Diceros bicornis minor: one gene and its partners. The protein of the gene in region 3 interacts with the protein of the main gene of each other region in a biochemical or structural test. Links are inferred from orthologs where the notes say so. Each region holds a gene or a part of one and is shown on either strand. Other genes may lie near its edges.

Region 1 (7,896 bases), on a different chromosome or scaffold from region 3:
CTGGGCAGGGCCTCCTCCCTCCCAGACCTGCCAGAGATAGTCCTAGCTCCTGGGGCAGCCCTGGGGCACAGGCAACTGGCGATCTGTCCCTCCACCAGCCTCCTGACCAGGGAGAACTTTAAATGACACAATCTGGAGGGTTTCTCCTGAAGAGGAAAAGTCCCAGGCCTGGGGATTCCCAGGAGCTTTGTCCTCCTGCCCCTTCTGAGCACTGCCTGGCTGGTGCCTGGGTCAGAGCACCTGGGGACAGGAATGTCACCAAAGGGTCCCAAATGCCTGTCCCTGGTATAGGGTCCTGAACACAGAGAGGTTTTGATAGATGCCTCTTAACTCACTGAAAAGTTTTATAAAATTATTATTATACAAGTAACATATACTTATTAGGAAATACAGGTTAGCAAAAAAGAGTTTTAAAAATCCTCTTACGGTTGTAAGTAAATTTTGAAGGATAGTCTTTTAGGTTTTTCAATGCACATATTCATAGAATTTTATTACAGACTAGGGGCATACTACACAAAACATTTTTGAAACCCACTTGTTTTCTATTGAGATATAATTCACATAGCATAAAATTCATCCTTTTAAGGTATATAATTCAGTGGTTTTTAATATATTCACAAGGTTGTGTAGCCATCATCATGATCTAATTCCAGAACATTTTCATCATGCCAAAAAGAAACCTGGTTCCCATTCAGTCACTCCCCATTCCTTCTTCCTTCCAGGCCCTGGCAACCACGACTCTCCTTTCTGTCTCTACAGGTTTGCCTAGTCTGGACATTTCATATAAATGGATTCATACAATACGTGGCATTTTGTGTCTGGCTTCTTTCACTTAGCATAATGTTTTCAAGGTCTGTCTATGTTGTAGCAGGTTTCAATACCTCATTCCTTTTTATGGCTGAATAATATTCCATTGTATGGATATACCACATTTTATTTTTCCAATCATTGGTTGATGGGCATTTGGGTTGTTTCTACATTTTGGCTATCGTGAATAACACTGCTATGAACATATGTGTACAAGTTTTTGTGTGCACATGTGTTTTCCATTCTCTTGAGTACACACCCTGGAGTGGAGTTGCTGGGTCATATGGTAACTCTCTGTTTAACTTTTTGAAGAACCGCCAAACTATTTTCCACATCAGCAGCACCATTTACGTCCCTACCAGCAATGTGTGAGGGTTTCAACTTCTCCACATTCTTGCCAACACTTGTTGTTTTCTATCTTTTTGATTATAGCCACCTCTGTGGGTGTGAAGTGGTATCTCATTGTGGTTTTGATTTGTATTTCCCTAATGACTAATGATGTTGAGCATCTTTTCATGTGTTTATTGGCCACATCTCCCTTGGAGTAATGTCCACTCCAATCCTTTACTCATTTAAAAAATTGCATTAGTCTTTTCATTGTTGAGTTTTAGGAGTCCTTTGTATATTCTGAACATGATTTGCAAATATTTTCTCCCATTCTCTTGGTTGTCTTTTCACTTTCTTGATAGTGTTCTTTGAAGCACAAAAGTTCGTGATTTTAATCAAGTCCAATTTATTTTTCTTTGGTTGCTTGTGCTTAGGTGTCATCTGAGAAATCACTGCCCCAGCCAAGGTCAGGAAGAGTCACACCTAGACTGACTTCCAGGACTTTTATATTTCAGCTCTTACATTGAGGTCTTTGATCCATTTTGAATTAGTTTTTGTATATAGTATGAGGTGGGGGGTCCAAATTCGTTCTTTTGCATGAGGCTATCCAATTTTCCCAGCACCATTTGTTGAAAACACTACTCTTTCCCCATGAGTTGTCTTGGCATTCTTCTTGAAAAGCAACTTACCTTATGAATTTAGCCTTATACTATGGACGTTTCTGTATGCTAATAAACATGCCTCTATAGCATCTTTTCAAAATAAGTTTCTAGGGGCCGGGCCGGTGGCGCAGTGGTTAAGTGCGCATGCTCCGCTTTGGCGGCCCGAGGTTTCCGCAGGTTCGGATCCCGGCTGCGTGCGCACCAACGCACCGCTTGTCAAGCCATGCTGTGGCAGCGTCCCATATAAAGTGGAGGAAGATGGGCACGGATGTTAGCCCAGGGCCAGTCTTCCTCAGCAAGAAGAGGAGGATTGGCATTGGTTGGATGTTAGCTCAGAGCTGATCTTCCTCACACACGCAAAAATAAATAAATAAAATAAATAAATTTCTATTAAAATATAACAAGCATAAAGGAAAATGCAAATATCATAAGTGTTTAGCTTGATCAGTTTTCACAAAGTATTTGCACCCATGTGGCCACCACTCAGATAAAAAAAAACGTAGAATACTACTAGCACCCCAGAAATCCCCTTTGTCCCCCTCCTGGTCACTACCTCCAACCTCCTCCCCAGTGGTAACCTCTATCCTGGCTCCAATCCCTGTAATTTAGTTTTTCCTGCTTTTGAACTTTATATAAATGACATCGGACAGTATTATGCTTTTGCATCTGGATTCTTTCACTCAACGTGATGTTTGTGAGGCTGCAATAGTTCATTCACTTTCATTGGTTATTAGAATTACAGCATCATTTGTGGTACATTCACATAACAAATATTTATTGCATGCCAGTCCCCATGCTAGGCCCTGGGATGAGGCAGGGAACAAGATAGTAAGGTTCCTGTTCCTCAGAGCTCATGTTCTTTTGTGTGAGAGACTGACACCAAAGACGATAAATACTTAAATATATAGGATGTTGTGTACAGATAAGTGCAATAGAGAAAAATACAAAATAAAGCAGGCAAAGGGATGTGGGGGGAGTGGCTGCAATTGTACACAGGATGGTCAGGGAAGGCCTCGCCGAGAAAGTCACACTGAAGCAAAGGCCTGAGAGAGGAGAAGGAGGGAGCCATGTAGATTTCTAGAGGAAGGGCATTCCAGGCAGAGGGAGGAGCAAATGCAAAGGCCCAGAGGTGGCAGCAGGCTTGGCATTTTCCAGAAACAGCCAGGAGACCAGTGGCTGGAGCAGAATGAATGAGTGGAGAATGAGGAGGGGTTCAGAGAGGGCACTGGGCACAAACAGCAATTGTAAGGATTTCTTTGACTTTTACTCTGAGATGGGACTCACTGGAGGGGTTTCAGCAGAGGAATGACATAATTTGACGTTTTTTACAGGCTCACTGTGGCTGCTGTGTTGAAGAGAGACTGTAGCTGGAATCATGGAGAGTGGCTAGGAGCTCTTGCCGTAACCCAGGTGAGACGCATGGTGATTTGGACCCAGGCGATAATGGTAGATGTAGTAAGAAATAGCTGCCTTCTGGATATATTTTGAAGGTCAAGCTGGAAAATTTGGTCCCAGGTTGGATTGGGGTATGAGAGAAGATGAGTCAGTTAAGTTTTCCAGGCTCAGTTGCCCTGTCAGTTTCTTAAGTAATCTCCTATTATTGGGCAATCAGGAGGCTTCCAGCTTTTCGCCGTTACAGAGAAGATGGTGGTGAACATCCTCATAGACAGAGCTGTACACCATCCAGGATTTCCCTGGGGTAGTGTCCATCCTTGGAACGCAGCATTCAACCTTCAACCTCAGCCGACTGTGCACCCCCCTGCAGGTATTTATCTGGAGGCAGTGTGGGGTAGTGGTTAGAGCACAACCTTTGGAGCCAGGCGCCTGGGGGCAAATCTTGGCTCTGCTGTCACTACTTGGGCAGGCGAACACACTTGTCCGTGTCTCAGTTTGTTTCTTTATAAACTGAGGATAATGATAGTCACTACCCTGCAGATAGGATTAACTGAGTTAAGGTGTGTACAGCCTGGCACATAGTAAGCTCTTTGTTAATGTCAGGATTTTCCTTTAAATTGAATTCCATTTAAAATTTTCCAAATACAAGTGTTTTAAAAGGAACGTTTATATTAATACCTTCGATAGAAAACCAGTGTGGCGTGCTCGGAAGAATAGGAAATCATAAAATAAAATAGACTTAATTTAATGGAAAGGAAACAGTGCTGTCCAGTTCTGGTTAGATATTGCCGCGGGGAGGACCGGCAGTGTGAGAGACGCTGTGAGCGCTGAACCGAGACGCTGCTCCTGAACTCCAACGGAAGGGTGCCAAGGACAAGGAAGAAAGAGGAACTGTGATGCCCTCGCCCACCACGTAACCCAGCCCGCTCCAGAGGCGGCGGCTCTGGGACTCCACAACGTCAAGGCTTGAGATGCCCGAGGACTTCCCGACTTGTCCTGAGGGCCTCTCGGGTTGAGAGGGGCGCACCTGGCGGGTCACAGCACAGCCGCCCCGCCCCGCGGGCGCCCGGCCCCCTCCCGCCGCTCTCCGCCGGCGCTCGGAGCGCTCGGGGCGGCCGGGGGCGGCGCCGGGGGCGGGGCGCGGGGACCGCAGGGGCGTGGCCGGCCGCGCAGGGGTGGGGTGGGCGGCAGCGGGGGCGGGTGCCCGGGGACAGGGCCGGCCCGCGGCGGGGGCACGGCGGGCGGACCGAGAGCCCGCGCAGCCCGGGCCGGAGCGGAGCGGGGCCCGGAGTGGCGGCCGCGGTGAGTGCCCCTGAGCCGGCGCGGGGACGGCGGGGACACGGCGGGCGCCCAGGCTCCCGCCCCGGGACTCGGACAGCTGGCCTCGGAGCCGGCCCGGCCGCCAGGCTTAGGGAGGGGCTGCCTCGGTTTCCCCTTGGGGGAGTCCCGGGGACTAGATGGAAGGTAGAAGGAAAGGGGGCGTCTCGAGGATGGGGAGCCCCCTGGCGGGCCGTGGCTACAGAGGATCAGGGGGCTTGGGGATGTGGGCGGAGCTTCCAGACCCCAGGAGCCTTTGAGGTCTGGGGAGAGCTGTGATTTGGGGATGAGGGGCTGTGGAGGGAGAGCCTGCTTGATGAGAAGTCCTGAGCTCCGGGCTGGCCTGGGAATGAGGAGGCCAGGCTTCAGGTCTCAGCAGAGGCTACTCTCTGTCGAGTCCCTTCCTCTCTCCCGGCCTCAGTTTCCCCATGTCTGTGAATGGGTGGGTGTAAGCGAGAGAGTGCCTCAGGGGAGTCACCCCATGGGAGTCTCCTCCCCCTCCTTGGTGTGTGTGGAGACCCTGCTCATTCCCCATGCCGGCCCAGACAGGCCCTCACCAGGGGCGGCCCAGCATCGGATTCTCTGTGTCTTTTGCCCTCTCCTTTGCCCCTCATGTTGGGGAGCAGCCGTCTGGTCTGCTTGCTTTCCAACAAATGAAAAAGCCCCCAAATCTCCCTGAGGAGAGCCTCCCCCAGCTGACCCCTGGCTCTGGGTCTGTTCTCGCTTCTTCCCCTCTTTCTGAGCCCTTAGCTTCTCCCTGCCAATGGCCTTGGTCTCCCCATGGGCTGTTCCCGGCCATAGGATCCTCGTCCCATAGAGGGGACAAGCCTGCCGTGTCACCTGTCCCCTGACGCTGTGGTGAAGAAGACCAGAGTGACATCCCTGTTGCCTCTGTTCTCCTGTCCCAATTGCTCCGCCCCTAAGTTTGTTGGTTACTCAGATCTTTGCCAATTTGCACCCTGGGATCTGAGGCTGGAAGGGACCCCAGCCAGCCCACCTCCCCCCAACCCGGTGCAGGATCCCTTTGCTGCATTTGCTCAGGGACTGCGAGCTCGTTCCTTATGAGGTGGCTGTTCAGCGTCCCGCAGCTCTCGTCTCACTTAGCTGAAATCTGTGCCTTGCTGATTCCACCCCTTGGCTCCACTGCTGCCTTCTGGAACCTGCGGTTAATTCATTCTTTTATTCTTTCACACAATCTTTGTCGGTGAGACACTGGGGATATCGCAATGAAAAAATCAGACCCAGCTCCCTGCCCTCACGGAGTTCTTATTCTAGAAAAGAGTGGGACAGCAGGCAAATAAGTAAATACATGGTATGTCAGGTGGGGGGAAGTACCATGGAGAAAAATAAAGCAGGCGGGGAGATGAGGTGTTGGGGTGGGTATTGCAATTTTCTATTGCCTAGTCAGGGATGGGCTCCCTGAGGTGGTGACCACTGAGCAAAGCCTTGAAGGAGGGAGGGGTGAGCTCTGGGGGGGAAGGGACAGTGCAGAGGGAAGAGCTCTGCAGAGGAAACAGCACCTGCAGAGGCGCCCCGGCAGGAGCATGCCCTGCAGGAGCAGGTCTGGCTGTTCCAGGAACAAGGAGGAGTCCAGTGTGGCTGGAGCAGGGTGGTGAGGAGCCAGTGGGGCATTAGTAGTAAATGAGTGCAGAGAGGTAAGAGGGGAACTGGGGGTCCAGTGCCTGGGGCCTTGAAGGTCACGGCGAGGGCTGTGGTTTTCACTCTGAGTGCAAGGGCAGCCGCTGGAGGGCGTTGAGCAGAGAAGTCACCTGCTCTGACTTAGGGGTCAGCAGGTGCATCTGGCTGTGGCGGGAGAAGAGACTGTAGGGTGTGAGGGCAGAAAGGGGGGACCGGTGAGGGGCCCACTGTTGTCATTCTGGGAGAGACCATGGGGGCTTGTACCCATGGCGTAGAGGTGGCGACATAATCTCGGTTTCAGATTTGGGATATATTTTGAAGGTAGGGTGGATAGGATTTGGGGTGCGAGAGAAAGGTGGAGTCGAGGATGACTTGGAGTTTCTGGGGCCCGAGCATCCAGAAGTTTGGAGCTGCCATTGACTGAAATGGGAGCTGTTTAGGGGAAGATACGGAGTTTGGTTTTGTGCTTGTTAAGTTTGAGATGCCCATTAGGCATCCATGTGAAGATATCCAGTAGGCAGCTGGGAAAAGTTTAGTGGAGAGGGTGGAGCAGGAAACAAATTTTGGGCGTCCTCACCATTTAGCTGGCATTTAAAGCTGGAAGAGCAGGTGGGCTCGCTTAGAGATGGAGTGATAGGGAAAAAAGAGGTCAAACCAGGGGATTCCGGTGCTCCCAGCGTTAGGGACCAGCCAAGGAGACAGAAAGGGCAGCCGGTGAGAGGGGAGGTAAAATCAGAGGGCTGGGGTGTCCTGGACGGCAACACAGAAAGTGCTCCAAGGAGGAGGGAGGGAGCGATTATGACAGCCGCCTTTGACAGAGCAAGCAAAATGAGGGCTGAGAGCGGAGCAACGTGGAGGTCACTGGTGACCACGCTGAAAGCAGTCTGGGGGGCGCGGGGGACCGTCATTGGAGGGGATGGGGGAGGACTTGAGGACAGCAGTACAGACAACAGACAAGGAGTCCTGCTGTGAAGGGGGGCAGAGAAATGAGGTTGGACTTGAAAGGGGAAGTGGGGGTAGAAAGAGGGCTTTACTTTTAGAATGGAGAAATTACAGTCTGGTTGTGTGCTGGTGGGAAATGCTTTCCTAGAGACAAGTTCGGTGAAGGGGGCGAGAATGGAAGATGGCTGCAGGAGGGCAGGGGGATGGATCCTGTGCCCCAGGGAGGCTTGGCCCCAGCTGAAAGCCAGGACAGTTCAACAGCTGGCCTTCCCTGGGCCTCCCTCCCTCTCCTGTCTGCAGGGGCCCAGTGGACTGAGATTTCAGCACTTAAACACATTAACTGGCTCGGGGCCCCAGAGAAACCAGGCTGGCTGTGGTCTCAGGAAGGAAGAAGGTGTCAGGACTTGGGGATAAGGGAGGACCCACGTGTGTTGCCCCTTCTGCTTGATCCTCTTTCAGCAAGGAAGTGCCCCTCCGTTGCATGGGTGGGCTTCACTTTCCTGGAGGAGAGACTGTAATGACTCCAAAGGTGTGGTCACTGAAGTGGAGAAGAAAAGGCACTGCGATAGGCTGATGTATTTAGTCTGAAGGGGGGAAGTCTGAGCAGGTGATCAAGGGGCAAGAGGCAGGATTTTAGGGACAGTTTTTATGAAATAGGTGATGAGTGGACATGTATTTTCTTTCTCCCAGTTTGAATTGAAGCAGGAGAAACTTAAGCTAGATATAAGGAGGAGCTTCCTGAGCTGGTTAGTGAGGACAGTAAGAAGGCCAGATCCTCCCCCCTCAGTGTTTAAGATGGGAGAGGACA
Region 2 (7,796 bases), on a different chromosome or scaffold from region 3:
TACCCTGCAATTCCTGGAAGAATGTTCAAATAGAGTTGATTGCTAGATGTCAGATTTTACCAGTACCCAGTCACAAACACATGTGGAAGCCAGTCAATACTACATGAAATGGCTGAGTTTTTATTTTAATAAGTTTACAAAAGAAAGGCATACATGAATTTGAGGAACAAAAAAAATGTAATTCAAATCCTTTACATAACATAAGCAATTTGTATATACAGTATCAAAATATACCAAGATACTCTTCACACTAAAGTAATGGTTCTCAAGTTTTCTGGAGCATTGGCTCTCCATCAACTGCTGGATCGTGCCCCCAGAGTTTCTGACTCAGTTGGTCTGCAGTGGGACCCAAAACGTTGCATTTCTAATCAGTCCCTGGCTGCTGCTGCAGCTGCTGGTGTAGGAACAACATTTTGAAAACAACTCCATTACTACCTGAAAAGCACCTTTCTAATCTTGTAGGAGAGAATGATCCGGATCAGCATGAGCTATGGGATCAAGGTGTCTGCTGCAGAGTTAGGAGACATATTTCCCCACAATAGGTGTTTCTATTTGAGCTTCCTCTTGAGCTACTTGTCTCTTCATCTCAGGGTAGGGTTCAGAATTTTCCTTCCATGGAGGTAGTGTGACTGGGTGAGGCAGTCAAGAGATTTGTGCAAGGAGTCATCTTCCTCTTGTTCCTCCTGAGTAAGGGAGCATCCCTACCTCTGTTCTAAGTACCTGGGAATTCTTTGCCTTTCCTAATAGTGCCTCAAAGATCTCATTGTGCATGTAAAAGAAGATATACCCAGTGCAAAGCCTAGCCTTCTGCATCACAGACTCTTTGATTTGCGACACTTGTAAATCACTGTATGTGAACCAGGCCTGCCTCTGAAAGTCATAAACATCGCTGATGTAATGGCCTGAGTTTGGGGAGTGCCCGAGATGGCTGACCACACTGATGAGCCGGTAGGCATGAAGAGGATCTCCCATCTTGGCATTTCTTTTCAGTTCCCTGGCTTCAGCTTCTGTGTTCTCTGTATCTAAAATTTCTTTGCTTCCAGGGTTCTTGTCAGAACCCAGTGCACCAAGGGAATTCAGGTTAGCCTTCTGATGAATATTGAGGTCCTTCTCTGTGTGTTCCTGGGCATTCGGCTTCCCAATGCTTGGAGTCGGTTCCTGCTGAAGGAATTCCTCATAGATTCTCTTCCCATCATGCTGCTGGAGTTGTTCAGCCATTCCTTGAGGTCTTTCTGGAATCCTGTTTTCTTTATCCTCATAAAAATCTTCAGTAGTCTCAGTGACACTGTCAAAGCCTAACTCTATAAATGCTTTGGTTTTCTCATATTTCTTAAGTTCTGGATTGTCAGGTACCTCTTGAAGATGACTCTCTACAAGACCTGTGTGTGGGCTGCTGGTAGGTTTACCTCCACCTTCACAGATCATAGGAAGAGAACTATCTTCTTGATCCATCGAGTCAGCTGCTGGCAGCTTCTTTTCACTGACTGTCCTATCTCCTGAGTTTACCAGTTCTGACTCTATTACATTCAGTTTAGAACCATTTTCCAGGTCTGTCTGCTGCTGTTCTTGGCTTGACTCTTCACAGATTTTCTGATCATTTTGTGGTTCGGCATCCTTGTCTGATCCAATTTGTAAAGCCAGGGAATCACTGGATTCTGGGATCAACTTTACTGAAGGTGTCGATGGGCTGATGACCTCAGAAGTCATCTCTTGCGAGATTTTCAGGACTTTGGAGTCCCCAGTAGGTGCATTTCTACCCAAGAGAAGAGGTGGTTTGGTGCTATCATTGCAATGAGAAGATAAGCTTAAATACTTGGGAATATGGACTCGATGGTTATCCTTCACTAGCAACCAAACACCATTAAAGCTATATCGTTTCAGATGAACAATAAGGACCCTGGGAAGCCTACTGAATTTGTGCATTGCAACAGAACTCGTGTGCCTGCACCTCTTACAGTTATACTCAAGTTCTTCTGCTCTAAAGAAAAGATCAAAGGAATTTTGAATAGAGAAAGGAAGTGGTTTTGTTTCTTGGGGAAGGTTGATGGAGAGATAATTACTTGGTTCTGCCTTGAGAACAACCCAACCACAGCTTTTACAAATAATGGAGCACTGCAATTCAAACTCAAAATTAGCAACAACAGGACAAACAAATACTTTGGCGGCAGCATTACCAGCATACATGTGCGGAGATGAATTTTCATCCCCAAGTTCTCTCTCAGTCCTCAAAGTGCTGTTTAATTTTTCCATGTCCTCTTTCAGCCGATCTAAACAGTGACCTAAAAACTCATGAGCATCATTCTGCATGTTGCCAGAGAATGTCTCTGAAACCACTGAAATGGCACTTTTAATATTTACAAGTAACTCTTTCTTGGTCCGTATGTTACAAACATCTTTTAATACCAGTAACTGGCTGAAGTGCATAACCAGAGCACGGAATGGAATTTTCTTCCACGGGACACCTTGCATGAGTAAGTCATCCGCAAATGATGGAATCGCAAATAGGGACTGTAAAATTGCATTCATGTAACAGGTGTTTCCCAAATTGGGAAAGCCTTGCCATAGTTGTTCTGGGTGAGAGCCAAGAGACACCTGGGGTTCATTCCATCCTGGGTCATTCTGACTATATATTTGTTCTGATGGAAATTCCAAACTTCTTTTGGAAGAGAGAGGCTGGACTGAAAGAACAGGCTTATCTAGGCTAGGATTTTCAGGAGAGATGGTCCAGCACGGAGGTTCATATTTTGAATTTCTATTCCTTCTTAAATCTTTTAAATGCAATGGTTTCTTCTCATTGCTGCTTACATACTTAAAGGAATCTGCCTTCAGTTTCTTGTTTAGTATGGGGTTATTTTCTTCCTGGAGGCCCTCATTCATCTCTAGACCATATGATAGCGTTCTTTTCCACTTTCCACCTTGATTTCCTGATAGCCCTGTTGTGACAAGCATTGGTGATTTTAACATTAATGAAGGCACCTTCTGAGGGAAAGGTGTTTCACTTCCTTTTTCTATATTAAATGATCCATAATTTGGCTTGTCACAAACTTTGTGAAATGGAGTTTTGTCAATTTCTTTCTGTGTATTCCTGCTGTCAAAAACACCCCAATCATTATCAGATTTCATAGGTGATTGGAATTTGTTTTGATGGACTTTGTCCAGGAACATCTTCAACTGCTCAGCATCTCTGTAGGATAATTTGTCAATAAACAAGGAGCTATTATTTTTCAAAGTTAAATTCAGGCAACTTTGTCTCTCTCCATCATGTCTAAGGACCACACTTGTAATATTATTACTTAGCTGAAAAACCCTTATAAATTCTCCAGAGTTGAAAATGACCACCAGGCTAGTTTCCTTTTTTCCTTCCACTGTTTTGATGGATACTTCTCTAGATTTAGTTACCCCGGTCTTCTTGCTCCAAATTTGGATAAAACCATGTATCTTTAGAGGAGCCATCCTTTCTTTACAAATCAAACTCATGTAACCTAAATAAAAAAGCACACATATACACTTTAATCCAAAATTTATTGGATTAAACCAATATGGAAAACCTTATGTAATAATAATTTTCTTTTAGTCTTCTCCTTATGCCTTAGGTAAAAGACACTTTGGGGGAACTACTTATATTCTGAAGCTATGCCAATTCTTTAGAAGATGTAAATTCAGAACACATGCTTTTTCAAGGTAGCTGTTAGGAGGGGAGGAAGATGAAGGATGGCTTAAGTAGAGGATATATAATCAAGTGAGATTCATCCCTGGGGTGCAAGGATGGTTCAACATATGCAAATCAATAAATGTGATACATTGCATTAATAGAATGAAAGGCAAAAATCACATGATCATCTCAATAGATGCAGAAAAAGCAGTTGACAAAATTCAACATCCATTGATAATAAAAACACTCAACAGGGCCGGCCCCGTGGCTTAGCGGTTAAGTGCGCGCGCTCCGCTACTGGCGGCCCGGGTTCAGATCTCGGGTGTGCACCGACACACTGCTTGTCCGGCCATGCTGAGGCCTCGTCCCACATACAGCAACTAGAAGGATGTGCAACTATGACATACAACTATCTACTGGGGCTTTGGGGAAAAAAAAAAGGAGGAGGATTGGTAATAGATGTTAGCTCAGAGCCGGTCTTCCTCAGCAAAAAGAGGAGGATTAGCATGGATGTTAGCTCAGGGCTGATCTTCCTCACAAAACAAAACAAAACAAAACCTCTCAACAAATTGGATATAGAAGGAATGTATCTCGACAGAATAAAGGCCAAATATGACAAGCACACAGCCAACATCATATTCAATGGTGAAAAGTTGAAAGCATTTCCTCTAAGATGAGAAAAAAGACAAGAATGCCCCCTCTCACCATTCCTGTTCAACACAGTGCTGGAAGTCCCAGCCAGAGCAATCAGGCAAGAAAAAGAAATAAAAAGCATCCAAATCAGAAAGGAAGAAGTAAAATTGTCTGTTTGCAGATGACATGATCTTATATACAGATAATTCTAAAGACTTCACCAAAAGACTGTTAGAACTAAGAAACAAACTCAGTGAAGTTGCAGGATACAAAATCAATATACAAAAATCAGTTGTGTTCCTATAAACTAATGAAGAATTATCTGAAAAAGAAATAAAGAAAGCAATCCATTTACAATAGCATCCAAAACAATAAAATAGGAAGAAATTTAACCAAGAAGGTGAAAGATCTGTACAGTGAAAACTATAAGACATAAGAAAAAACAAATAAATGGAAATATATCCTGTGTTCATGAATTGGAAGAATTAATATTGTTAAAATGTCCACACTACCCAAAGTAATCTATAGATTCAATGCAACCTCTACCAAGATTCCAATGGCATTTCTTACAGAAATAGAAAAAAACCCTAAAATTCATATGGAACCACAAAGACCCTGAATAGCTAAAATAATTCTGAGAAAGAACAATGCTGAAGGAATCACACTTCCAATTTCAAACTATATTACAAAGCCATAATAACCAAAACAACATGGTACTGGCATAAAAACAGACACATAGATGAATGGAACAGAATTGAGAACCCAGAAATAAACCCATGTGTATATGGTCAATTAATATTTGACAAGGGAGCCAAGAATACTCAATGGAGAAAAGATAGTCTCCAAAAAATAGTGCTGGGAAAACTGGACACTCACATGCAAAAGAATGAAACTGGACCCCTATCCTACACCATTCACAAAAATTAACTCAAAATGGATTAAGACTTAAATGTAAGACCTGAAACCATAATACTCCTGGAAGTAAACATGAGGAAAAAGTTCCTTGACATTCATCTTGGCAATGATTTTATGGCTACGACACCTAAAGCACAGGCAACAAAAGCATAAATCAACAAGTGGCCAGGGGCCAGCCCCATGGCATAATGGCTAAGTGCACACGCTCCTCTGCTGGCAGCCCAGGTTCGGATCCCGGGCGCGCACCAATGCACACCCTGTCAGGCCATGCTGTGGCGGCGTCCCATATAAAGTGGAGGAAGATGAGCACGGATGTTAGCTCAGGGCCAGTCTTCCTCAGCAAAAAGAGGAGGATTGGCATGGATGTTAGCTCAGGGCTGATCTTCCTCACCAAAAAAAAAAAAAAAAAATCAACAAGTGGGACTACATCAAACTAAAAAGTTTCTGCACAGCAAAAGAAACAATCAAAAAAATGAAAAAGCAACCTATGGAATGGGAGAAAATATTTGCAAACCACATATCTGATAAGGAGTTAATATCCAAAATATATAAGGAAATCATACAAATCAATAGCAAAAAAAACAAATAATGATATGATCCAGCAATTCCACTTCTGGGTATATAACCAAAGGAACAGAAATCATTACTCTCTTAAAGAGATATCTACACCCTTATGTTCACTGCAGCATTATTTACAATAGCCAAGACTTGGAAACAACCTATGTCCATGGACTCACAAATGGATAAAGAAAATGTGGTATAAATATACAATGCAATATTATTCAGCCATAAAAAGAAGGAAATCCTGCCATTTGTGACAACATGAATGAATATTTAGGAGATTATACTAAGTGAAATGTCAGACATAGAAAGACAAATACTGTATGACTTCACTTATATGTGGAATCTGAAAAATCATAGAAACAGAGAACAGATTGATGGTTGCCAGGGGTGGGGGGTGGGGGAAATGGGGAGATGTTGTTCAAAGGGCACAAACTTCCAGTTATAAGATGAATAAATTCTGAGGATATAATGTACTGCATGGTGGCTACAGTTAACAATACTGTATTATATATTTGAAAGTTGCAAAGATAGTAGATTTTAAAAGTTCTCACCACACACAAAAAATTGTAACTATATGAGGTGATGGATGTGTTAAATAACCTTATTTTGGTAATCATTTTGCAATCTATACATCTATAAAATCCCTACGTTGTACACCTTAAACTTACACAATGTTATATGTCAATTATATCTCAATAAAACTGGAAAAAAGAACAAGAAAAAAAGTACATGCACCTCATGCCTGAAAACTGGATTAAATGTATGGGAATTTAAGTTGCGTCTGAGGCCCCATGGGTAGAACTTTAAGGGGCACTGAGGTTTATTCAGAATAGGAAGCAGTGGGACATGGGGAATGGATAGAATAAATTGGTGCCTGCTCAGAGTTTGTGTTATCAATTGGTGAGACTTTTTTTACATATGTAAATTGGCATATTGGTAGCAACAGAAAGACCCATCTCTTGGAATTACTTGGAGGGTTACAGGACAAAAACACATACAAAAAATCAAATACAGTGCCTCATCAAGAATAGGTACTTAGTGAATGTTAATTCTTCCCCCAGTGACTCCAAAGTTAGGAGCTGTATCAGGCCAAATGCTTGTTACTTACCTGGGCTATACTGAAGACTCAATTTGTTTTGCAAGTCCCTCTCAGGAAGCAACACCAAGGTAACGGTTCTATTTAAATCTGTAGATGAAAATATTCAAATAAGTGTGAAATTCCAAAGATCGTGGTTACAATTTCTAGCGAAGGAACTGATCGAGTAAATAGAAGGACATGGATATTAAGGTGCTGATGTGCATATCAGAGCACTTTTTTATATTGCCAATTTAATTTGGATCCCTCCTTCTCCCATTTGGAAAAACCCATGCCCCCACACCTGTCCTTAGCAGAGTGAGCTTGAAAAGAGATAATTGGGCTGGGTGGCATGAAAGTGAGCACTGACATCCTCAGAAGGTGCAGGGCTGGGCTAGATATAGCTCCAGGGACCATGTGGATGCCTCTGACCCCAGGAGCCCTGTGTGGGAGCATCTTCTACTTCCTGGGAGAAGGAGTCAACACCCAAGAGGCTGAGATAGGAAACAGACCTAAGAGAAGCCCACGTGACCCTTAGCTCTCTATCCAGAATGGTATTATTTCAACTGATCTTGCTGGTTTTGCCTCAGAGCTCGTATTCAGATTCTATTCAACGATGAAGCCAAAGCTAAAAGGAGAAAGGGAAGAAATTGAATTAAACTTACTAATGTTATCCCAGTCATGCCACTGAATTTAGGTAAGCCAAGGAGAACTTTTATATCAAGTTCTGAGTTTTTCTTTTTGTGGCATTTAATTTGGTTTATCTTAGTATAGATTAGGCGTGATGAAGTCAACTAACCAATCAAACCTGAGTTTAGTAGTTAGTGAGAAGATGAAGCTTAAAATCAGTTCTCTAAACATGTTTCTACTTGCTGAAAAGAAAAAAACCCAAAGTCTATATTTGGAGAGCTTATTCATAGATGTATACAACTTTCCATCTGTAAAATGCAGTTGTGT
Region 3 (8,926 bases):
GGAAAGAGCAACTGACTCAGAAGTGAGAAATCTCAAGTCCAATTCCCAGCTCTACCATTTACTTAGGCGTGAGGATTTGGCAAATCAAACTCTGACCCCTTGTCAAGATCTGCAAAATGGGGATACCATTTGCCCTGCCTAACCAGAATTAGTTGGTCACCAACTACATTCCACAGGAGATCACGATCACTGTCAAAGTTTACTGTGGAAATAGAGCATAAATACAGCAAACAATAAATGTGTTTTCATTTTAGAACTGGAAGAGACCTTAAATGATCTTCTTCAATCCCTCATTTTATGTGAGAAATCAGAGACCCAGAAAATTGAAGTGCCTTGCTCAAAGTTACTGAAATATATTATGGCAGAATCAGTACAGCATCTACATTTTCTAAATATCCAGCCCAGTACACTTTTCACCACTCCACACTGCCCTTACCACTTCTTGCAACCTAGTCCCCAATGTACATACCTTACAATTTATTCTAACATTTTCTACACTCTGATCCAGAATGGTAAAAACTAAATGATTTAAAAAAAAAAAAATCTACGTATGTTTCTGAGGCTGAGACCTTACATAACTGGATATCAGAACTGAATTTAGGAAGTGTCATGCTGATATTACTGAGTCACAACATTAGGAATTTAAGGATTAAAATCAGCTGATGCCTAAAAAATATGCATCTACCAAATGACTGCAAATTTGGTCTGTGGTTGGAGTTTTTTTCTTACATAGTTTCTAACTGAATTGATATAACGCTGATTCAATTACATTGTTATCTGAAAAATACAGAATACAATTTTCTTTATTTATAGGCAATATATTTGCACCATACAAAATACTGCAAACCTTGTAAAATACTTTTTGTTTCTGGTCATCTTCCTCTATTCTCTTATTCATGATTTTAACCTAGAAGCAGATTCTAAGTTGAGAAATAGTTACCGAGTGCCCACGGTGAACCCTGGATCATATAACACTGTTTTAATGTATGCAAATGATGATGGAAATTATGTAATAGTCTCAACATTAGAAAGATCCAAATTCAATCTTTAAAGTGAAAATAAACTGGCATTAAAAAATGAAAAAAACACAGCTAAATGACTGTCTAATATTAGAAATTTTCATCTAAAACCAAAAATCTACTCCCCAGGAATGTCCTAAATATACCAAAGACGGGTTGAAACATTGTCTAAACTGAAAGAGGGTCTTTGGAAACATAAAAATCTAATCAGAAGTTAAATGGCTTTGGTGGAAGAGCAACAAAATGATAATTGTCTCCTTAGTAACTTTCATTCTTCCAAGAAGCAAGAAGGTAAACGCTTTAGAAAGTAGTGTGTGGAAAACCAACCTTGTAAGACTCAAATAATGTAAGTCTGTGAAAGCATTTGGTAGACTATGAAGCACAAGTTATTATTATATAACAATTTGTAGTCTACAAGCACAGCAGTTCGCCACAGAGTAGACGTAAATGCTTATTTAAAAACTGCAATTCTTTTATACTGACTCACTGAATTTTTATTCTTAAAAAAGAAAGAATGTTAGCCACGAAAGCTGGATCAACTATCCACTTCTGAAAAAGGAATTTATCCTCAATAGAATTTAGCCTCAATAGAAAACACACACACACACACACACACACAAATTGCCCCCTTTTCAAAACACAGGTCCTTCTTTTAGCCATGTGACCTTAAAGCAGGTCAATGTTCCTCTCTGGAACTGTTTCTTAGTAATATGTGTCAAGCACTGTGTTTTGCACATATTGCCTAATAGGATCTATTATACACATAAAATGAAATAGAAATTATTATCCCTATTTTACAGTTATGGAAACCAAGGCTCAAAGGGGTTAGTTAGGAACCTTGCTCCAAATCACACAGCTAATAAGTGGCATAGCTGATATTCTGAACCTTCCTTTAACTTTAAAGGCCTCACTCTTCCCACTTACACTACCTTGTAAAATGAGGTTGTTCTCAGTGATCTCTAAGGTTACTTTATGCAATAAAAAAATACGACTGAGTAATCCATTATTCTTCCAAAACCCGCATAGAAAAAAATTTATTTATTGAATGATAACTATCCCATTACTTTTAGTTTGCCACTACCTAAAAATAATTTTGAACTTTTAAAGTAGAGATAACTCTTTGAGAGTCTACAAAAGAGAACATACAGGGTTCTTTATGGCATACGTTATGTAAAGTGCTTAATATATTTTAAAAATGATAAATAAATGGTAACTGATAGATACTATTTTCAACCAAAGTTTTAACACTTTCTGAAGTGTATCTTTAAAACATATAGTTTTTACTTTTCTAAATTTTATGGTTCTTAGAAACAGTCTACTTCTCTGTGAATCTGAAAAGAAGGGACGTATTAAAGGCACATATTACTTTGCTCTAAAATAACTTAAGGATGGATTCGGATTTTCTAACAGCGATTTCTGTCTGTTATGTTCTGGTTGTCACCGAAATCATTAGTTGGCTCTTCAGAACATGCTACTCGAGACATCTTTCCTTCTAGACCAGTCTACATTATTAATGGTGAAATTCATCTAAATTAGTCCAATTGATGGCAGAACATTTAATATTACAGCTACTGCTCTATGGAAACAGCGAAACAGAACCGTTCGGTACCCGGGGAAACACTTTACTAGACATGGTGATGTGCTAATTTACCAAACACTTATTGAGCATCCACTACGTTCTAGGCACCGAGCTAGGAGTCGAAGAGAATACAATCCTTGGTCCTTAAGAACACCACGTCGTAGTGAGCTGAAACTCCAAAACGGCCACGGTCTTTGACGAATTTACTACTTAGAGACATGGGAACTGGTGGACCACACTACCTCACCAGTCCATCCTCCTGTTTGAGATGACCCAAATCCAGGCACCAGAATATCAAATCCAAACTCAAGAGTGCCGAAGTGAGGAAAAAAGAGAGCTATCGGGGAGCAGCTGAACGCGGAGAGTTCCCTCTATACCCGGTCTCTGTGGGGACTCCGGGGTGGACCCTGCGGGGCCCAGAGGATCAGAGGGGCCGGGGAGGCGCCTTAAGAGTCGGGACCAGGCAGAGGCGGGGACAGGCCGGGGCCGGAGCCCCGTGCCAGGCCTCGCTCACCTCTTCCACCTCGATCTCCTTGTAGTCGATCTCTTCAAAGTTGAGGACTTGGGTGGGTGCTTCGATCATCTCACCGGCCGAAGACGAGGAGGAGGAGGAAGCGGCGGAGGCTGTAGACATGATCCCTTGTGGAGCCCGGGGGGCCCGGGGAGGCTGCCGCCCGGACACTCCGGGGGAGACCCGCGCCCACCCGCCTCCGGACCGACCTTCAGCCTGGAGCCACGGCGATCCGCGGCGGGGACAGAAGCAGCGGCCACAGCCGAGTCCCGGCTCCGGCTCCGCTGCGTTTTCCGCCGCCGGGCCCCGCCCACTAGACTTCCGGTTCCGGCCTGAAATCGGAAACAGGAGGAGGGCCGTGAGCTCAAGGGAGGGGAGGGGAGAATTTTGTGATTGAGCCAGAGAAAGGAAGGACAGGTTGGGGGTGTGGTAGGGGAGGGTGAGAGGCTATCTTGGGCCTGTAGAACAAATTTCGCGAGATCTTTGTTAAAGGGCCTCAGCAACCGGATGATACCGCGAGAGCTGACGAAGTGTCGTAATTAAAATGCGCGAACGGAAGTGGCGCGGAGGACGACGGGATATTGGTGCGGTTGGTCCTTTAGCAACCCGCGGGAAAGATAAAAGCTACGTTTTTAACTTTGCTTCGTGAACTACGTTAAGGCCCCGCTTCCTCTTCTCTCAGAGACCTGCAGACGGACGGGGTGGTGTTGGACTGAGTTTTTGTGACGAAGCTTAGTTTTCAGCTAAGCTAAAAGTAAGCTAAGCAGAACTGTTTCTTTAAGAAGCCTTGGAAAATGTGTTTCCCTCAATGTGGTATATGGAAGGAAGCGGTTGCTACTGTTACTTTGAGCCAGGTTGCTATTGTTACTTTGACGCTATCAGATTCTAAAGCAAATAATACAGAGCGAGCCACTGCATGTAACCTGAATAACACTACGAAGGCTGAGTACTCACGAATAGAAGTTAATATTAGGTAAGGGAGATATTTGTAATTTGGCATAATTTGTGTTCATCTGAAGTTATGGGTTATATTAACAGTACGTATCGAGTGCAGAGCACTGTGCTAGATGCTGTGCATTTATAACTTAATCATTAACAAAGGCCTTGCAAAATAATATATATTTTTTCCATTTTCAGGACATGAGAAATTAGGCTCAGAGAGGTTAAAACAATTATGATTCTCACAAGCTGGTAGAACCTGTCAGTATATCTCCGGATAGTATTGCCTGTGTTGTGCTATCAACACAGTTTTTAGTTTTAAACTAAATGTTAGTTTTTATTTAGTCGGTTTGACCTAAAGACTAACTGGGAAAATTGGAGTTCGAAATGAAGGTTTAAGGACCCAAGGTGAAAGCCTGTGAATATCAAAATCTGAATCTCAGTAAGAGACCAAAAAGGAACAGATAGGGAGATAGTCAGGGGAATGATGATCCAAATATCACTGGAGGAGAGCTTTCTTGTTAAAGAGCAGCCAACCAAATAAATGCTGTACAGAAGTAAGTTAAACACATTTGGGTTAGCAAATAGGTCATTTGACTTGGCGATCAAGAGGTTATGAACTCCTGGAATACATTGTCTTTCTTCATTCATGGTTCTAGTAACACTCAATGATAGTTTGGTGAATGGATAAAAGAATGAAAGAAAGAATAATTTCTTTTCACTGTACACTCTCTGGATGATCTTACCCAAGATCTTGACCACCTATACTGCTTATATGATGATAACTCCCAATCTCTCCCATTACTCAAATTTTTCATGAATTCTGGACTTATTGGACATCTCTATTTAGATATAACATAAACACCAAAACTTGAAGATTCCAAAAAAAAATTGAAGTTACCACCCACCACAAATACATTCTTCCGTGCGCATTTTCTGTCTTCGTGAAGGATCCCATCATCTACTCAGTTGTCCAAGTGGGAAATCAGGGCTTTATTTCTGCATGTAAAACGATGGTTAGGGCACTGATAACCAAATAGAACCAGATTAAGTCAATGGGATAACCATTTTTATCTGTCATTTCTCTACTTGAATTCCCAAACTAGGATGGTCACCTCTTAACCTTGTGCTATCACTCTGTGCGTCATATCTGATTTCTCTTTACCACCTTGATGTTAATACAGTGGATGCTATCAAGTGGGAACTCAAGAAATATTTGTTATATATTCTGGATGAATGAATAGCTTTTGTCAGTCCTTCGTTTCCCTGGAGTGCAAGATCTGTTTTGTATACCTTCAGTTTAGGACTAGAATCCTGCTGAGAAGGGACTAATCACTACAGCCCTGATGTTGTTCTCCTGCTTGGTGTTCCCACAACATTTTATGAAAAGTATCAAACATACAAAAGTTGAAAGAATTTTACAGTGAACACCTATGTACTTAGCAAGAATATTCTACCATTAACATTCTAGTATACTTGCTTTATCATATACCTGTCCATCTGTCCATCCACCCATACAAACATACATTTATCTTTTTTGATTGAATGCATTTCAAAGTGGATTTCCTGCATGATTTTGACCGTCTACCCCAATACTTCTACTTTTGTGTTTTATCCACTGATTTCGACTTCTGATATTGATACTAGTTTAAAATCAATTCTTGTCCTATTTGCTTGCAGACCACCCTTTTTTTGGTCTGCATGGTGCCTTTTCACTAGCTTCTGATAATAAAATCCCAGCAATGTTCATGTCTGTGAATCCAGTCATCCCCCAAATGCAGTCTACCTCTTCCATTCTGTGATTGATTATGTGAGCTGGTAAATTCCCATTTTTTCGTTTAAGCTGATTCGAGTTGTATTTTTGTCACTTGCAATCAAACAATCCTAAGTAATACAGTTTGAATCCAGAGAAATGAGGGAAGGGAGCTGAACCCATTTTAGTTCACCCCAGTTTTGACTTTGCATCCCCTTTAACTTCTTCAGCTTTCATGAGTTAAGGATGGAAGCTTGGACGTCACAATTTCATGTCAACTTCAGTCACCAGTCTATTGTGTCTCTACAAATTTCCAGAGATACATATCAAGCTATTTAAGTGGTCTTTAAGTCCCTCCCAGTTTGATCACTCTCCACCACCCACCCTCATGTTAATGTCCTAATAACTACTCTAACCTTCAACTCTGTCTTCAATTTTAACACTTTTATACTATCCAGGGGATGAGGGCCAAGAGTTTCAAAATCCATTTCCCAACATCTCTGAATGTTCTAAATGGGATTCTCATCCTATTTGCCTCATTTTGGATATAAGGACACCTGGCACCTGTTTTCATGGAGACTTAGCAGAAACAGATTAAAATAGTTCCACTTTAAAGTTCTGTTGCATTGGCGTGTGTAATACATTTAGATTAACTTTAGATAAAGTGTTTCCTATTTTATCAGTCAGTATCACTTTTGTTATAAGTAACAGGAAACTCAACACATAATACTTGAAACAATAAAGGGGATTTATTGGCTTAGTTAAGTGGAAAGTCAAGAGGTAGAAGAGGCTTCAGGTGTCTTGATTCATAAACTTAATGTTAGCATCAAAAATTGAGTTTCCATTGTCTTCTGCCTTTTGTGGTATGTGCCATTGCTCTAGAACAGTGTTTCTCAACTTTTGTTTTCATTATTGCCCCCCGGCTCCAGGAGCCTTTTAAGGTTGTTTTAAATGCCTTCCCAAAGTTTTAATACCACGGATATACTGTGTATCTGTTTATGTACTGTATGCATATTTATGCTTTATACATAAAAAGTGTTGTTTTTTTCTCTCCTTAATTTTCACCGCCTTGGAGGTGATATCATCCCCATTGAGAACGCACGTTCCAGCAGTTTCATTTTTCATATGACATGTCACACTGTCCAGTACAATAACAGAGAGCATCTTTTGGTAGCTATCTCAGAAGAGCAAAGAACTTTCTTTTTCAAAAGCCCTTGACAACTGTACCCTTGAGTGAGGAATGGGGAACAGGAGAGTTGAGGTTGCAAATATCTTGTTTAGTTTAGATCCAGGACTGAGAAAACATGGACTTTGAGAAGGAGGAGCTGCTAACTACAAGAAAAATCTGAAGACTCTTAGGAAGGGCAAAGCAGGGAATGGTTGCTGGGTATACAGTCAACAAATGTTCATTATTCATATGTCTATTCAGGTTGAGCTCTATACCTAGAAAGTGCTGTCTTTACTGCTTGTCCCAGAACCAAACTAGCCCAACTCAATCAAATATTATTCTTTCCAGGAAGTTCAGAAATAGTTTTCTGCTGTACTATATTCAAAACTGCAGTACACAGAGGATAGCCAACCCCTTAGCAATTCAGTGACACTGCTGGAGAGCAGCTCCCCAAATTCCTGCATTTCTTTGATATTTGAGTTCATTCCAAATTTTCTACTCCCCACATCTTCATCTTAGGTCTTTTGCAGCCCATGGAGCTGCTGGAAGGATTTGTGTTCCAGGTACCAACAATGTGGCTAGTAAGAGTAGGCCTGCGAAAGTGGAGTAGAGGCTTCTGGCAGGTGCAGCTTCAGGGCATTCTCTGACATTGCATATAGCTGAAACTTCTGTTTGCAGCTAATGTTCTTTTTTTCCGCCTCAACCAAGCTAGCTGCAGGGTAACTGCTTTGGTGGTGCCATGTGTCCTGCAGATAAAATCTCCATCATTGATTTTGAAATACTTGATATGAAAAAGTTGAACTGGTTTCAAAATCCATTCATAATATCACAAGAAATTTGAACATTACATTGGCCATTTAAAGAAGAAGAAGAGCTGTTAGAGTCTTTAAATATGATTTCAACTGTTGTAAATTTTAAAATGATTGTAAAAGTATTTAAGCATTTTTTTGGTTTCCTTGTGTGAACAAAGTTTCTTTTTGATGATTACTGTAAGAATTTGAAGAGATCCACCTTAAAAAGTCTTGATCAGGAATTGATAGTAGGTGTTTCAAGTATAAAATCTTATATTAAAAATTTATTTATAAAGGAAAGTTTATTAAAAATTCTTATTAATATTTTGAAAACTATATTTGATATTTATACAAATTCAGTGTTTAACATTGTCTCTAATACTTTGTATTTATTTATTTTTCAAAATTACATAGCATGAGAAAAGCAATAATTTTTAAAATAAAGCCCCAAATAGATACCTCCAAATCCTTTCCAGTTCATCCCGGAGTATCTTACAATATTATCATTTTCTACCTGTGTCATGCCATGAAAAAGTTTGAGAAGTGCGAAGTTAGGAGGATGTTGCAGTAGTCAAGGCAAGAAATAATAGTGGTTTGAACAGTATGGATAGTGGCATAAGGAGTATAGATAAATGGATATGCTTGAGAGATACTGAGAAATGGAGTTGGTAGGATTAGTGATTGACTGGTTGTGGAAGAAGGAGGTAAAGGAAAGGGCAATGTAAAGGATGATTCCCAGATTTCTCACTTGTGCAACTCAGATAGAAGGATGCTCTTTACAGAAGCAGGGAAGACTGGAACGAGGTTGGGGGAGAAGAAAATAAGGAAATCAGTTTTAGACACGTTGAGCTAGAAGTACCTGAGAGATTTCCAAGTATAATTATGCAGTAAGCAGTTAGTCTTAGGGAAAAACATGGAGCTAGAGAAACAGATACTGGCCTACTGATGATAATTTGAGTCATGGAAATGGATGAGATCACCTAGGGAAGATGTGTAAAGTGAGAAAGAATAGACTTAAAACACAGCCTTAAGGAATAAAATCTTTAAGGCATGGGTGGAGGTGGGGGAATTGCCAAAGAAATTTGTGGAAAACTAAAATTATGATGTGGAAACCAAGACAAATGGTGTTACAGTGTTATACTTCCAAGAAGTTAAACAGGAGAGAA

What was found.
Region 1: the proteins of MAP3K7 (region 3) and NOD2 form a complex in vitro, tested with the Homo sapiens proteins (2 studies listed by BioGRID). The link is inferred for Diceros bicornis minor from reciprocal best matches to the Homo sapiens genes MAP3K7 and NOD2.
Region 2: the proteins of MAP3K7 (region 3) and USP29 form a complex in vitro, tested with the Homo sapiens proteins (2 studies listed by BioGRID). The link is inferred for Diceros bicornis minor from reciprocal best matches to the Homo sapiens genes MAP3K7 and USP29.

What each region holds. Positions count from the first base shown.
Region 1 is NC_080771.1:4,259,077-4,266,972, forward strand, and holds the start of NOD2 (nucleotide-binding oligomerization domain-containing protein 2), read left to right. Parts: upstream 1-4,443; 5' UTR 4,444-4,493; intron 4,494-7,896. UniProt on the Homo sapiens protein: Pattern recognition receptor (PRR) that detects bacterial peptidoglycan fragments and other danger signals and plays an important role in gastrointestinal immunity.
Region 2 is NC_080773.1:35,252,166-35,259,961, reverse strand, and holds USP29 (ubiquitin carboxyl-terminal hydrolase 29), read right to left. Parts: upstream 3,454-7,796; coding exon 664-3,453; 3' UTR 622-663; downstream 1-621.
Region 3 is NC_080762.1:42,348,878-42,357,803, reverse strand, and holds the start of MAP3K7 (mitogen-activated protein kinase kinase kinase 7), read right to left. Parts: upstream 3,413-8,926; 5' UTR 3,233-3,412; coding exon 3,113-3,232; intron 1-3,112. UniProt on the Homo sapiens protein: Serine/threonine kinase which acts as an essential component of the MAP kinase signal transduction pathway. Plays an important role in the cascades of cellular responses evoked by changes in the environment.